2 linked regions of the Macaca fascicularis genome follow. The protein of the gene in region 1 interacts with the protein of each later gene in a pairwise test. Links are inferred from orthologs where the notes say so. Each region holds a gene or a part of one and is shown in the gene's direction. Other genes may lie near its edges.

Evidence for each region. The genes of interacting proteins can lie anywhere in the genome.
Region 2: the proteins of GRB2 (region 1) and NUTM2F interact in a two-hybrid assay, tested with the Homo sapiens proteins (2 studies listed by BioGRID). The two-hybrid records come from large-scale screens. The link is inferred for Macaca fascicularis from reciprocal best matches to the Homo sapiens genes GRB2 and NUTM2F.

Annotation. Positions count from the first base shown.
Region 1 is NC_088390.1:81,721,365-81,726,996, reverse strand, and holds the end of GRB2 (growth factor receptor-bound protein 2), read left to right. Parts: intron 1-1,532; coding exon 1,533-1,701; intron 1,702-2,804; coding exon 2,805-2,990; 3' UTR 2,991-5,284; downstream 5,285-5,632. UniProt on the Homo sapiens protein: Non-enzymatic adapter protein that plays a pivotal role in precisely regulated signaling cascades from cell surface receptors to cellular responses, including signaling transduction and gene expression.
Region 2 is NC_088389.1:124,458,480-124,464,111, reverse strand, and holds part of NUTM2F (NUT family member 2F), read left to right. Parts: intron 1-7; coding exon 8-165; intron 166-1,645; coding exon 1,646-2,342; intron 2,343-4,966; coding exon 4,967-5,095; intron 5,096-5,632.

The DNA of each region.
Region 1 (5,632 bases):
TGCTAATGAAGCTTTCACCTTTCACATTTTGTCTTACATGTAAAAGCAGTATTTTTTCCAAATGCGGGGCATCTTGTGCTCACTGGCTTCCTTGAAGCTCAGTGCTGCCACCTGCTGGATTGATTTTCTGACGCCTTTAGTTTCCGTCAGCTGAAAGACTAAAGGACTGAAGGAGAGGAGGGACTCCATTCATTGAACAAGCACTCTCGGAGAATGCCTTTTTTTTTTTTTTGAGACGGAGTCTCGTTTGTCACCCAGGCTGGAGTACAGTGTCCCAATCTCAGCTCACTGCAAGCTCTGCCTCCTGGGTGCAAGCGATTCTCCTGCTTCAGCCTTCTGAGTAGCTGGGACTACAGGCACATGCACATGCCACCACACCTGGCTAAATTTTTGTATTTTTAGTAGAGATGGGGTTTCACCGTGTTAGCCAAGATGGTCTCAATCTCCTGACCTTGTGATCCGCCCATCTCGGCCTCCCAAAGTGCTGGGATTACAGGCGTGAGCCACCGCGCCTGGCCGAGAATGCCTTTTTGAGCGCCTGGCCAGGTGAACAGGACAGGCAGAAGCGCCCTCGCTGGGCTGGTGTTCTAGCCAAATATCCTGTGACAGACCCTGTGAGCTAGTACCAGCCAGCCACACTGTTGCTGGTTTTGCTAGCCAGTGTAAAAGGGTGTGATCTGGTGATGGAGAAGCTTTTGGGTTTCGAAGCCTGGGCCTCTTTTATTGTGCCAGTGTGTCCTTTCATTCAGAGACCTTTTCCCCGTGAGTGGATCTAAAATTCCTGAATGGAAAACATGACTTGGAACTATTCGCAGTTACGAGAGAATTGTTGAAAGTATTTCCAGCCCTCCTCACCTTCTTCCTGCATATAACATTTTAATTATTTTTTTATTCAAAGGAAGTTAAGTCACACTTCTTTGTCTTAAGTAAGGCTGTTTTATTTGTTAGGGTTCAGGGCACATGGACTGTTTTTTTCTTTTTTTTTGAGACAGAGTTTCACTCTTGTTACCCAGGCTGGAGTGCAGTGGCGCAATCTCAGCTCACTGCAACCTCCGCCTCCTGGGTTCAAGTGATTCTCCTGCCTTGGTGTCCCGAGTAGCCGGGATTACAGGCATGCACCACCACGCCCAGCTACTTTTGTATTTTTAGTAGAGATGGGGTTTCTCCATGTTGATCAGGCTGGTCTCGAAATCCCAACCTCAAGTGATCTGCCCGCCTTGGCCTCCAAAGTGTTGGGATTACAGGTGTGAGCCACCGTGCCCAGCCTGGACTCTTTATCTTACAAACATCTTCAGAATGAGAGTGACTGATGGCCTGTCCCTGTTTGGTTTCTTCATGTTGTCCTGGTGCCCATCAGTCATAGGGAGGGGTCTGTTCCAGGGACACGCAGTGAGGAAGCTTGTTACTCTGCAGTCCCTGAGGAGTGCTGCCGGGACAGTGGTTCTCTCAGGATATCGCTTATATGGGCAGATAGCCTTCGATTTGCCAGGTTAGAGCCTTTAGCCGGTCCATGTGCTCTCTGTCCCTCCCAGGTTTGGAAACGATGTGCAGCACTTCAAGGTGCTCCGAGACGGAGCCGGCAAGTACTTCCTCTGGGTGGTGAAGTTCAATTCTTTGAATGAGCTGGTGGATTATCACAGATCTACATCTGTCTCCAGAAACCAGCAGATATTCCTGCGGGACATAGAACAGGTGCCACAGGTAAGCCTCATCAGGGTGAGATGGGATCATTTTAGAAATTAAGAATAGCTCCTCAGTGTGCATTCCTGTGGGAAGGGGGAGGTGACCCTCAATCAACATGCAGGCGCCCTTCAGGGATTGCCACTGGGGCTTCTGTGCTCGTTACTGAACACGTTACCTTCCATTCACACTAAAAATTTCTTGTTTCTGGCCCAGCGTAGTAGCTCATGCCAGTAATCCCAGCACTTTGGGAGGCTGAGGCAGGCAGATCACTTGAGGTCAGGAGCTTGAGACCAGCCTGGCCAACATGGTGAAACCCTGTCTCTACTAAAAATACAGAAATTAGCCAGATGTGGTGGCGCCCACCTGCGCTTGGGAAGCTGAGATGGAAAAATCGCTTGAACCCAGGAGGTGGAGGTCACAGTGAGCTGAGATTGTACCACCGCACTCCAACCTGGGTGACAGAGGGAGACTCCATCTCAAAAAAAAAAAGAAAAAGAAAAAGAAAGATTTGTTGTTTTAAATATAGGATTTTTGCTTTTCCAGAGGCAGTGTGTAGCCAGCTTGCCAGTCTCTCTAGGGAGATGGTCTTTAACACACCCACCCAAAGATCCTGTCCCTGGAGGCAAATTATGAGGAAAACTATGCTTGTGAGGGAGTGAGGTCGGCACCGTTCCTGTCCCTCGAGCCCTGGTCATAAGTTACAGTTAGAGTCCCTTATGTTATGCGAGCTCCAGAATTTTAGGCTCTAATATCTTAAGGGTGTGGTAGAAGGGATTTGCAGATTCTGGGCCCACAGCCTAAACACAGACGGCTGTTTCTGAAGAACTTTCCCCTCCAAGCACTGCCTGCCCTCTACTTGATAATATGGCACAGTTGGCCACCCTCCTCTGGGAGACATACTCTAGCATTTTCTGAGCACTGGGAAAGATCACACTAAACCCGCTTGGCCTGTAAACTTAGAAGAGGTAAGAATAAATGGGGGGTTGGGAGATGGGAGGTGAGTTTAGAAAACATGGAGAATTTGGCACGCATTCGTTTCCCCCTGGAACCCGTCTGGCCTCGGAGGTGGCCGGCCACAGACCAGGAATGCAATATGGGTTTTTCCTGCTCCTGTTTTGCAGCAGCCGACATACGTCCAGGCCCTCTTTGACTTTGATCCTCAGGAGGATGGAGAGCTGGGCTTCCGCCGGGGAGATTTTATCCATGTCATGGATAACTCAGACCCCAACTGGTGGAAAGGAGCTTGCCACGGGCAGACCGGCATGTTTCCCCGCAATTACGTCACCCCCGTGAACCGGAACGTCTAAGAATCAAGAAGCAATTATTTAAAGAAAGTGAAAAATGTAAAACACATACAAAAGAATTAAACCCACAAGCTGCCACTAACAGCAGCCTGTGAGGGAGTGCAGAACACCTGGCCGGGTCACCCTGTGACCCTCTCACTTTGGTTGGAACTTTAGGGGGTGGGAGGGGGTGTTGGATTTAAAAATGCCAAAACTTACCTATAAATTAAGAAGAGTTTTTATTACAAATTTTCACTGCTGCTCCTCTTTCCCCTCCTTTGCCCTTTTTTTCATCCTTTTTTCTCTTCTGTCCATCAGTGCATGACGTTTAAGGCCACGTATAGTCCTAGCTGACGCCAATAATAAAAGACAAGAAACCAAGTGGGCTGGTATTCTCTCTATGCAAAATGTCTGTTTTAGTTGGAATGACTGAAAGAAGAACCACTCTTTCTGTGTTCTTCGTATATACACACAAAAAGGAGCGGGCAGGGCAGCTCGACACCTTTGCTGTTTAACTTCCTCCAGAGGAGGGGGCTTGTAGGAATCTGCCTTCCAGCCCAGACCCCCAGTGTATTTTGTCCAAGTTGGCAGTAGAGTGGGGTAGAAGGAAAGCATGTCGCTGCCTCCATGGCTTCCCTAGAAAGCCTGCCTGGGCCGGGCAGCGTGGTGGCTCACGCCTGTAATCCCAGCACTTTGGGAGGCCAAGGTGGGTGGATCACAAAGTCAGGAGTTCGAGACCAACCTAGCCAACATGGCAAAACCCTGTCTGTACTAAAAATACAAAAATTAGCTGGGTGTGGTGGCATGCGCCTGTAATCCCAGCTACTCGGGAGCCTGAGGCAGGAGAATCACTTGAACCTGGGAGGTGGAGGTTGCAGTGAGCCGAGACCATGCCATTGTACTCCAGCCTGGGTGACAGAGCGAGGCTCCATCTCAAAAAAAAAAAAAAAAAGCCCTCCCAACAGCCTGTCTCTTTCCACTTTGTTGGCCCTTCCAGTGGGATTATCGAGCATGTTGTTTTTTCATAGTGCCTTTTTCCTTATTTCGAGGGTTGCTTCTGAGTGGTGGTGTTTTTTGTTTTTGTTTTTGTTTTTAATTTGTTTTGTTTTAAAATAAGTTAAAGACAGTCCAGAGCTTTTCAGCCAATTTGTCTCCTACTCTGTGTAAATATTTTTCCCTTGGGGCAGGGTAGAGCAAGGGAGACAAGCAGGAGTACAAGGTGAAGCATTCTCCTGCTTGTACTAAGCCAGGAGGCTTTAAGCTCCAGCTTTAAGGTGTGTGAGCCCCTTGGGGGTTCAGGGAACTGCTTGTCCAGGTTGCAGTGTGAGTGTGACGGGCCACCGGGGCAAGAGGGAAGGTGACCACCCAGCTCTCCCACATCCCACTGGATCTGGCTTACAGGGGGTTGGAAGCCTGTCCTCACTGTCTCAGGGGTTGTGGCCCCCACCCCATCACTATATGCACCCCTGGAACCAGCAAGCCCCAGACAAGGAGAGCGAAGGAGGAAGTCATGGGAACGCAGCCTCCAGTTGTAGCAGGTTTCACCTTATTCCTATGCTGGAGTGCACAATGAGAGTACTCACTTCTCACCTGTCTTGCTCTTAGATTGGGCTGTGGCTTTCATCCTGTGTCCTCTGACCTGTCCAGATGAGCGTGAGGGCAGCATTGGGAAGCCAGAGTGCTGCTTGTGCCTCCCTTGCCAGTGGGCTGTGTTGACTGCTGCTCCCCACCCCTACAGATGGTCCCAGGAAGCAGGGAGAGTTGGGGAAGGCAAGATTGGAAAGAAAGACCAAGGCCTCGGCAGAGATCTCTGTCTTCTCTCCACTTCTGGTCCCCTGTAGTGATGTGCCTGTAATCTTTTTCTCCACCCACTCCCCTTTCCACGACAAAAACAAGGCTGCCTCCCTCTCTCCAGAGAGTTGGTGACAGTTGGTCCTCTCGGTCCCAAAGCGGCTGATGGGAGTCTCCCTCCGACTCTGAATATGAACAGGGCCTGGGCCTGGAGCATTCGCTGTGCCAGGAGGCGGCAGCCCTTCTGGGCAGAGCCTGTCCCTGCCTTCCCTCACTCCTCATTCTGCTTCTCCTTTCCTCGCTGATGATAAAAGGAATCTGGCATTCTGCACCTGGACCATTTGATTGTTTTATTTTGGAATTGGTGTATATCATGAAGCCTTGCTGAACTAAGTTTTGTGTGTATATATTTAAAAAAAAAAATCAGTGTTTAAAGAAAGACCTATGTACTTAATCCTTTAACTCTGCGGATAGCATTTGGTAGGTAGTGATTAACTGTGAATAATAAACATACAATGAATTCTTCACTTGGTATCTTTTTTTCCCCTTGTCTGCCTTAAAAATTTAAAAACCGCCTTGGGGAGTCAGGAATCTTGGGTCCTTATTTCAGACTCCCAGCTTACATCCCCCTAGGGGAGCATGTGGGGCTCACAGGCCCTCCTGGGAGCGATGCCCATAGTTAGCTGTCAGGAACTCCTGGGGAGCCTATTAATAGTACAGAATTGCAAACCGCCCCCCATCCTTGGACATTAACTTTGAGGACACAGACATGCCCCGCTGTTTCTGATGTAGAGAAACCACTGACCACGCTTTGGGGACTCTGGTCTAGACCAAGGACTTTGGGAGGATAAAGAGCTTGGCTTATTTCGTTCTCC
Region 2 (5,632 bases), on another chromosome or scaffold:
TTTGTAGAAGCTCAGGTCTTCAGACCCACTTCCTCTTGTCTGCTAGCTCATGGCCCGTCCCCTGCACTTTGTGTTACTGTGGAGATGAAGAATTTGCCCCATTCCACGTATACTACCTCATGAACAGGGGGCAGGTGTGGATTCTTGCTGGTTCTCAGTGGAAGGGTCTGGAAAGGCTGGTTTCCTTTTCAGTAGAGAAAGGAAAGTAGCGCACAAATAGGAAGATGGTTCTCTTATTATTATTCAAGTTAGGATATGTGTCCTGAATGATGAGGTGCATGTGCTGTATCCCTTATTCCCCCTGACTAGAGACTGCATGGGGTCCTAGTGGGCAGGGATGAGTTTCAGACAACTTTGCCTCACCTGGCCCGTGGGCCAGGAACCCCTGGTTCTTGGTTGGTCACTATGTTCAGTTATTGGGAGCTCAAAGGAGAAGGATCAGAGATGCTTCCTTGTCCCACTACCTATTGTAACATAACCAGCAGCTGTGAAAATCCCTGGGCACCTCCCCTGATAGCCCTGCTGCTCACCAGTTGCTGGCTGAGTTCTAATCGTGTGCAGCTGTTGCTGGCTGTGCGGTGACAGTATCTCAGGGGACTCCACCACTGCCTCTCAGACATGCTCCCTGGGAACAGAGCTTCTTGAGTGGCAGCTGGGACCACTGAGCACTGAGGAACGGGTGGCCGGAATCTGACCCCCATTTGGCACTTGTGTGGGTGGTGCCAGGACAATCATTTGCATGCTGGGCATGATGTGTTATGGTTTATCTTTGGGGTTCCTAGGGCACTGGCTTGGGTGAGATTTCCATCCGGTGGTTTTCTTTTTTCTTTTTTTTTTTTTTGAGACAGAGTCTCGCTTTGTCACCCAGACTGGAATGAAGTAGCGTGATCTTGGCTCACTGCAGCCTCTGCCTCCTGGGTTCAAGCAATTCTCCTGCTTCAGCCTCCTGAGTAGCTGGGATTACAGGCATGCGCCATCAGCTAATTTTTGTATTTTAGTAGAGACGGGGTTTCACCATGTTGGCCAGGCTGGTCTTGAACTCCTGACCTCAGGTGATCCGCCCACCTCGACTTCCCATAGTGCTGGGATTGCAGGCATGAACCAGCATGCCCGGCCTATCCAGTGGTTTTCTTTTGTGGTGTTGAGCTAGGAAAGGAGTTTACAGGAGCTTCAGGAAAAGGAAGACTGAAGAGGAGATAGGGCCATAATATTCGGAAGCTTCGGGCTTCCTGCCGGCCTTCTCAGTGCCGAGCACTGCCCTGGGGTAGGCCTGTCTCCTATTGCTGAGCACGCTGAGGACCACCAAGCCGCTGAGAGACTCATCCCTGACCCATGGCTTGGGAGATGCCTGTGATGCTGATGGGGTCTGCCAGGGACACTGAGGGAGACCCTCGGGCAGCGAAGGCTTGGCTGTTCCTTCTTGGGAGACAGGGGTCAGGGAGTCTTGGTGACCGGGGCCCGGCTCTCTAGTGGAGCAACCCTTTCGTGGAGGAACAGAGCATCTCATGCACACTCAGGGACACTTGCAAGCGGCAGAGTTTCCCTGTCACACGCCCTCAGCTGTTGGGGCTCCCCTCTGATTCCCCAGTGACTAGTGAGGACCAGGAGACCCCAGCTCATTCATCTCTTTCCTTTGTCTCCACAGCATACCCAGTGCTGGGACCGGGCGTGACCGTGAACCCTGGTGCCTCCCTGTCTGTGTTCACAGCTCTGCCCTTCGCCACACCCGCTCCTGGCCCAGCACATGGGCCACCCCTCGTGACGGCAGCGGTTCCTCCAGGCGGCCCTCTGGTGCTGTCTGCCTTCCCCAGCACACTTCTGGTGGCAGGACAGGATGGCCGCGGCCCTAGTGGGGCCGGGGCTTCCAATGTCTTTGTCCAGATGAGGACAGAAGTGGGGCCTGTGAAGCCCCCTCAGGCACAGACCTTGGTCCTAACTCAGGACCCCCTCGTCTGGCAGGCTCCAGGCGCCCTCTGCGGAGGTGTCGTGTGTCCACCTCCCCTACTCCTGGCAGCTGCTCCTGGGGTGCCCATTACATCTGCCCAAGTGGTTGGGAGCGCCCAGGCCTGTGAGGGAGGCTGGTCCCAGGGCCTTCCTATTCCACCACCACCACCGGCTGCCCAGATGCCTCCCATTGTGCCCCCAGGGAACACTGGGCCATGGCCAGAAGGGGCTCATGGAGAGGGCAGCCTGCCTCCCTCCCAGGCCAAGGCCCCACCGGATGACTCCTGTAACCTCAAGAGTGTCTATGAGAACTTCCGACTCTGGCAGCGCTACAAGCCCCTGGCCCGGAGGCACCTTCCCCAGAGTCCTGACACCGAAGCGCTTTCCTGCTTCCTCATGTGAGTGTCCTCGGGGCACTGGAGCTTGTCCTGCAGCTCACACGTAAAGAGGCTGCCGAATGGACAGGAGGTCACGCTGTTCAGGGGAGCTTGCAGGGCGATTGTGAGGGTGATCAGTTGTGCTATGGGAAGGTACATTTTCAGCAACATTAATCTGGCTGTGGCTCAGGACAGACTGTCAAGGGCCTCATGTCAACTGCCCGTCACTATCCCGTGAGTCCAGCCAATCCTTACTTTTTTTTGAGCCAGACTTTCGCTCTTGTAGCCCAGGCTGGAGTGCAATGGCGTGACCTCGGCTAACCACAACCTCCGCCTCCCGGGTTCAAGCAATTCTGCTGCCTCAGCTTCCTGAATAGTTGGGATTACAGGCATGTGCCACCACGGCCAGCTCATTTTTGCGTATTTTTACTAGAAACGGGGTTTCACCGTGTTAGCCAGGATGCTCTCAATCTCCTAACCTGGTGATCCACCCGCCTCGGCCTCCCAAAGTGCTGGGATTACAGGCATGAGCCACCACGCCCGGCTTTTACTTTCAATAATTTTCACAGCAATGTTTACGGAAGACCCAGGTCAGAGAGGGTTCTTGGTGCGACGTGCGCCACGGTTTGAGTTTAGGTCTTTTTGTTTGTTTGAGATGGAGTCTCGCACTGTCACCTGGGCTGGAGTGCGATGGTGCAATCTTGGCTCACCACAACCTCCACCTCCTGGGTTCAAGTGATTCTCCTCCTTCAGCCCCCCAAGTACCTGGGATTACAAGTGCCTTCCACCATGCGCAGCTAATTTTTCGTATTTTTTAGTAGAGACAGGGTTTCACTATGTTGGCCAGGCTGGTGTTGAGCTCCTGACCTCGTGATCCACCCGCCTCAGCCTCTCAAAGTGCTGGGATTGCAAGTGTGAGCCACCACACCCGTCCTGGGGTTAGGTCTTTGAGTGTACACCCCAGTGCCTTCCCTCAAATTGAGTGTCGATGGCCAGGGGCACGTCACATGGGGCTGGGGGGAGGAGTTGCAGGGCCCGGCGGGAACCTGGCATACGCCCGCAGTTCTGCCAGTGAGGTCCAGTGAACACCGCGGTGGTGGAGTCTGCACACGGGGATGGTCTTGGGCCCCGCACTAGGGTCGATGCTGGGCAGGTATTTGCATCTTCACCCTCAATCCTCCCTAGAAAAAAGGACAATGATGCTTCGTTCAGAGAATGGCGAACAGATGACTTGAGCTCACATATGACATGCATAGCATAGTGCCTGGCACATGCTATGACACATTACATGACAGCAATTATGATTACTGTCCCTACTACTATCATTATTAGGACTAGGCCATCTAGGAGAGTGCTCCCCAAAGCCACAGGCTCCAGTGATAGCTCTGAATACACCACGAGCCCAGCAGCCCAGGGCTGTGGACTATGGTGACTGTGAGGCAGCAACGTCAGCATCCGGGAGAGTTTGTGGTTTCATTCCCAGTCCCTGCCTCTCTCCACCCTGTGGCGCCTCTGTGACCCTGTGTTTCCCACTGATGAGCAAACGGGAGCTTGCAGCACATCCACCGTGCAACACACTGGCCGCTCCCCTTGGGAAGTCCCCTGCCTGGGGTGTAGGTAGAACACAGCCCCATCTTCCTCCCCAACAATCTCGCTGGCCCCGCACCCTGGTACTGCTCACATTCCCCTTTGGAGCAGAGTCCCGGTGCACTGGGGACCCTGATTCTTGGAGTGGAGCTGCCCCAGGCTCACAGGCCTTTGCCATGGCTCCTGTGGGAATGTGGGAAGCTGTACCTGGCTGCTTGCAGTGGGCTTGACACCGCTCTGCTTTGGTTCTGGACATGTGCTCCTGCTTCTCATGCTCCAGGACCCTGAGGCTACACCCCCAGGGGCTGCCTTACTCCAGAGTCCCCAGGAAGCTGGTGAAATGCTCAGTCCTGGGGCCCAGGAACCTGCACTTTAACCCTCACTCCCAGGTCATTCTGTGTGCACGTTGTCTCAGTCAGCTCAGGCTCATGCTGTCTCAGTCAGCTCAGGCTCAGCTGTAACAAATCCCATAGACTGGGTGCTTTATCAAGACACATTCACGTTTCCCAGTTCCAGAGGCCAGAAATCCCAGATCAAGGTGACAGCAGATTGGGTGTCTGGTCAGGGCCCTTTTCCTGGCTGGAGAAAGCTGCCTCGGCTGTGTCCTCTTGTGGCTGAGAGGAAAAGGCCTGGCATCTCCTCCTGCCCTTATCAGGGCTCGGATTCCATGACTGGGACCCACGCTCATGACCTGCTATAACCATGATTGCCTCCAAATACCGACACGCCGGCGCTCAGGGCTTCAGCACGGGAATGTTGGGGACACATATGTTCCACCCATAGTACTGAGCTCACTTCTCAACATCAGTGTGGAGCATGAGGAGGGTGTGGACAAACACCGAGGACTTGAGGGGCAGTCGGAGAGGCCACTCTGTAGCTTGTGTTGATGTTTGATCTTGGGGGTGTGTCCTGGGGCCTGAGGAGCCCACGTGGGGGAGAACAGGACATGGACAGATGGCAGGACAGGTATGGGGAGGACAGGGGCCAGGTGTTGGGACCAGGTGGGCTCGGGATGAAGGGTGGGCTTATAGACTGGGGCTGACTGCACTGGTTTACAGCCCAGTTCTCCGATCCCTGGCCCGGCGGAAGCCCACCATGACGCTGGAGGAGGGACTGTGGCGGGCTGTGCACGAATGGCAGCACACGAGCAACTTTGACCGGATGATCTTCTACGAGATGGCGGAAAAGTGAGTCTGGGGTCCTGGGGGCAGGGCCCACGGGGCAGAGTGAGACTGAATGACGGAGGCCTGGTGGCCGTGGTGGCTTCTCAGTGTGGAGCATGAGGAGGGTGTGGACAAACACAAGACGCCCTGGGCCCCTGGCTCCTTCAGGAAGCTGCTCCTGCCACCTAGAGTGCTCTGGGGTCTCTGTCCTGCCTGGCCTGGGGCCAACCCCTGCCTTGACACTGGAGGTCATGGCAGGAGCAGCCAGCGTCACAGCCCAGAGGGGGTCACCTCCAGCTGTGGGGATGGGGAGAAGGGGCGCTAGTGACTATAGACAGAGTGGGGTGCAGGCTCCTCACAACAGTGGCCAGAAGTCGGTTTTCTGCCATCCCAGCCTGGCCAGGGAGTTGGGTCAGAGGAGACCTGCGCCCGGGACACCAGAGACCCATCTCTGGCCTGACCGCCTTTGCTCCTGGGCAGTGCCCTCCGTGAAGACAGACAGACAGACAGCAGCCTCAGGGGAAAGGGGCCCTGTCCTCCGGGCTCAGCTTTTGCTTCCTC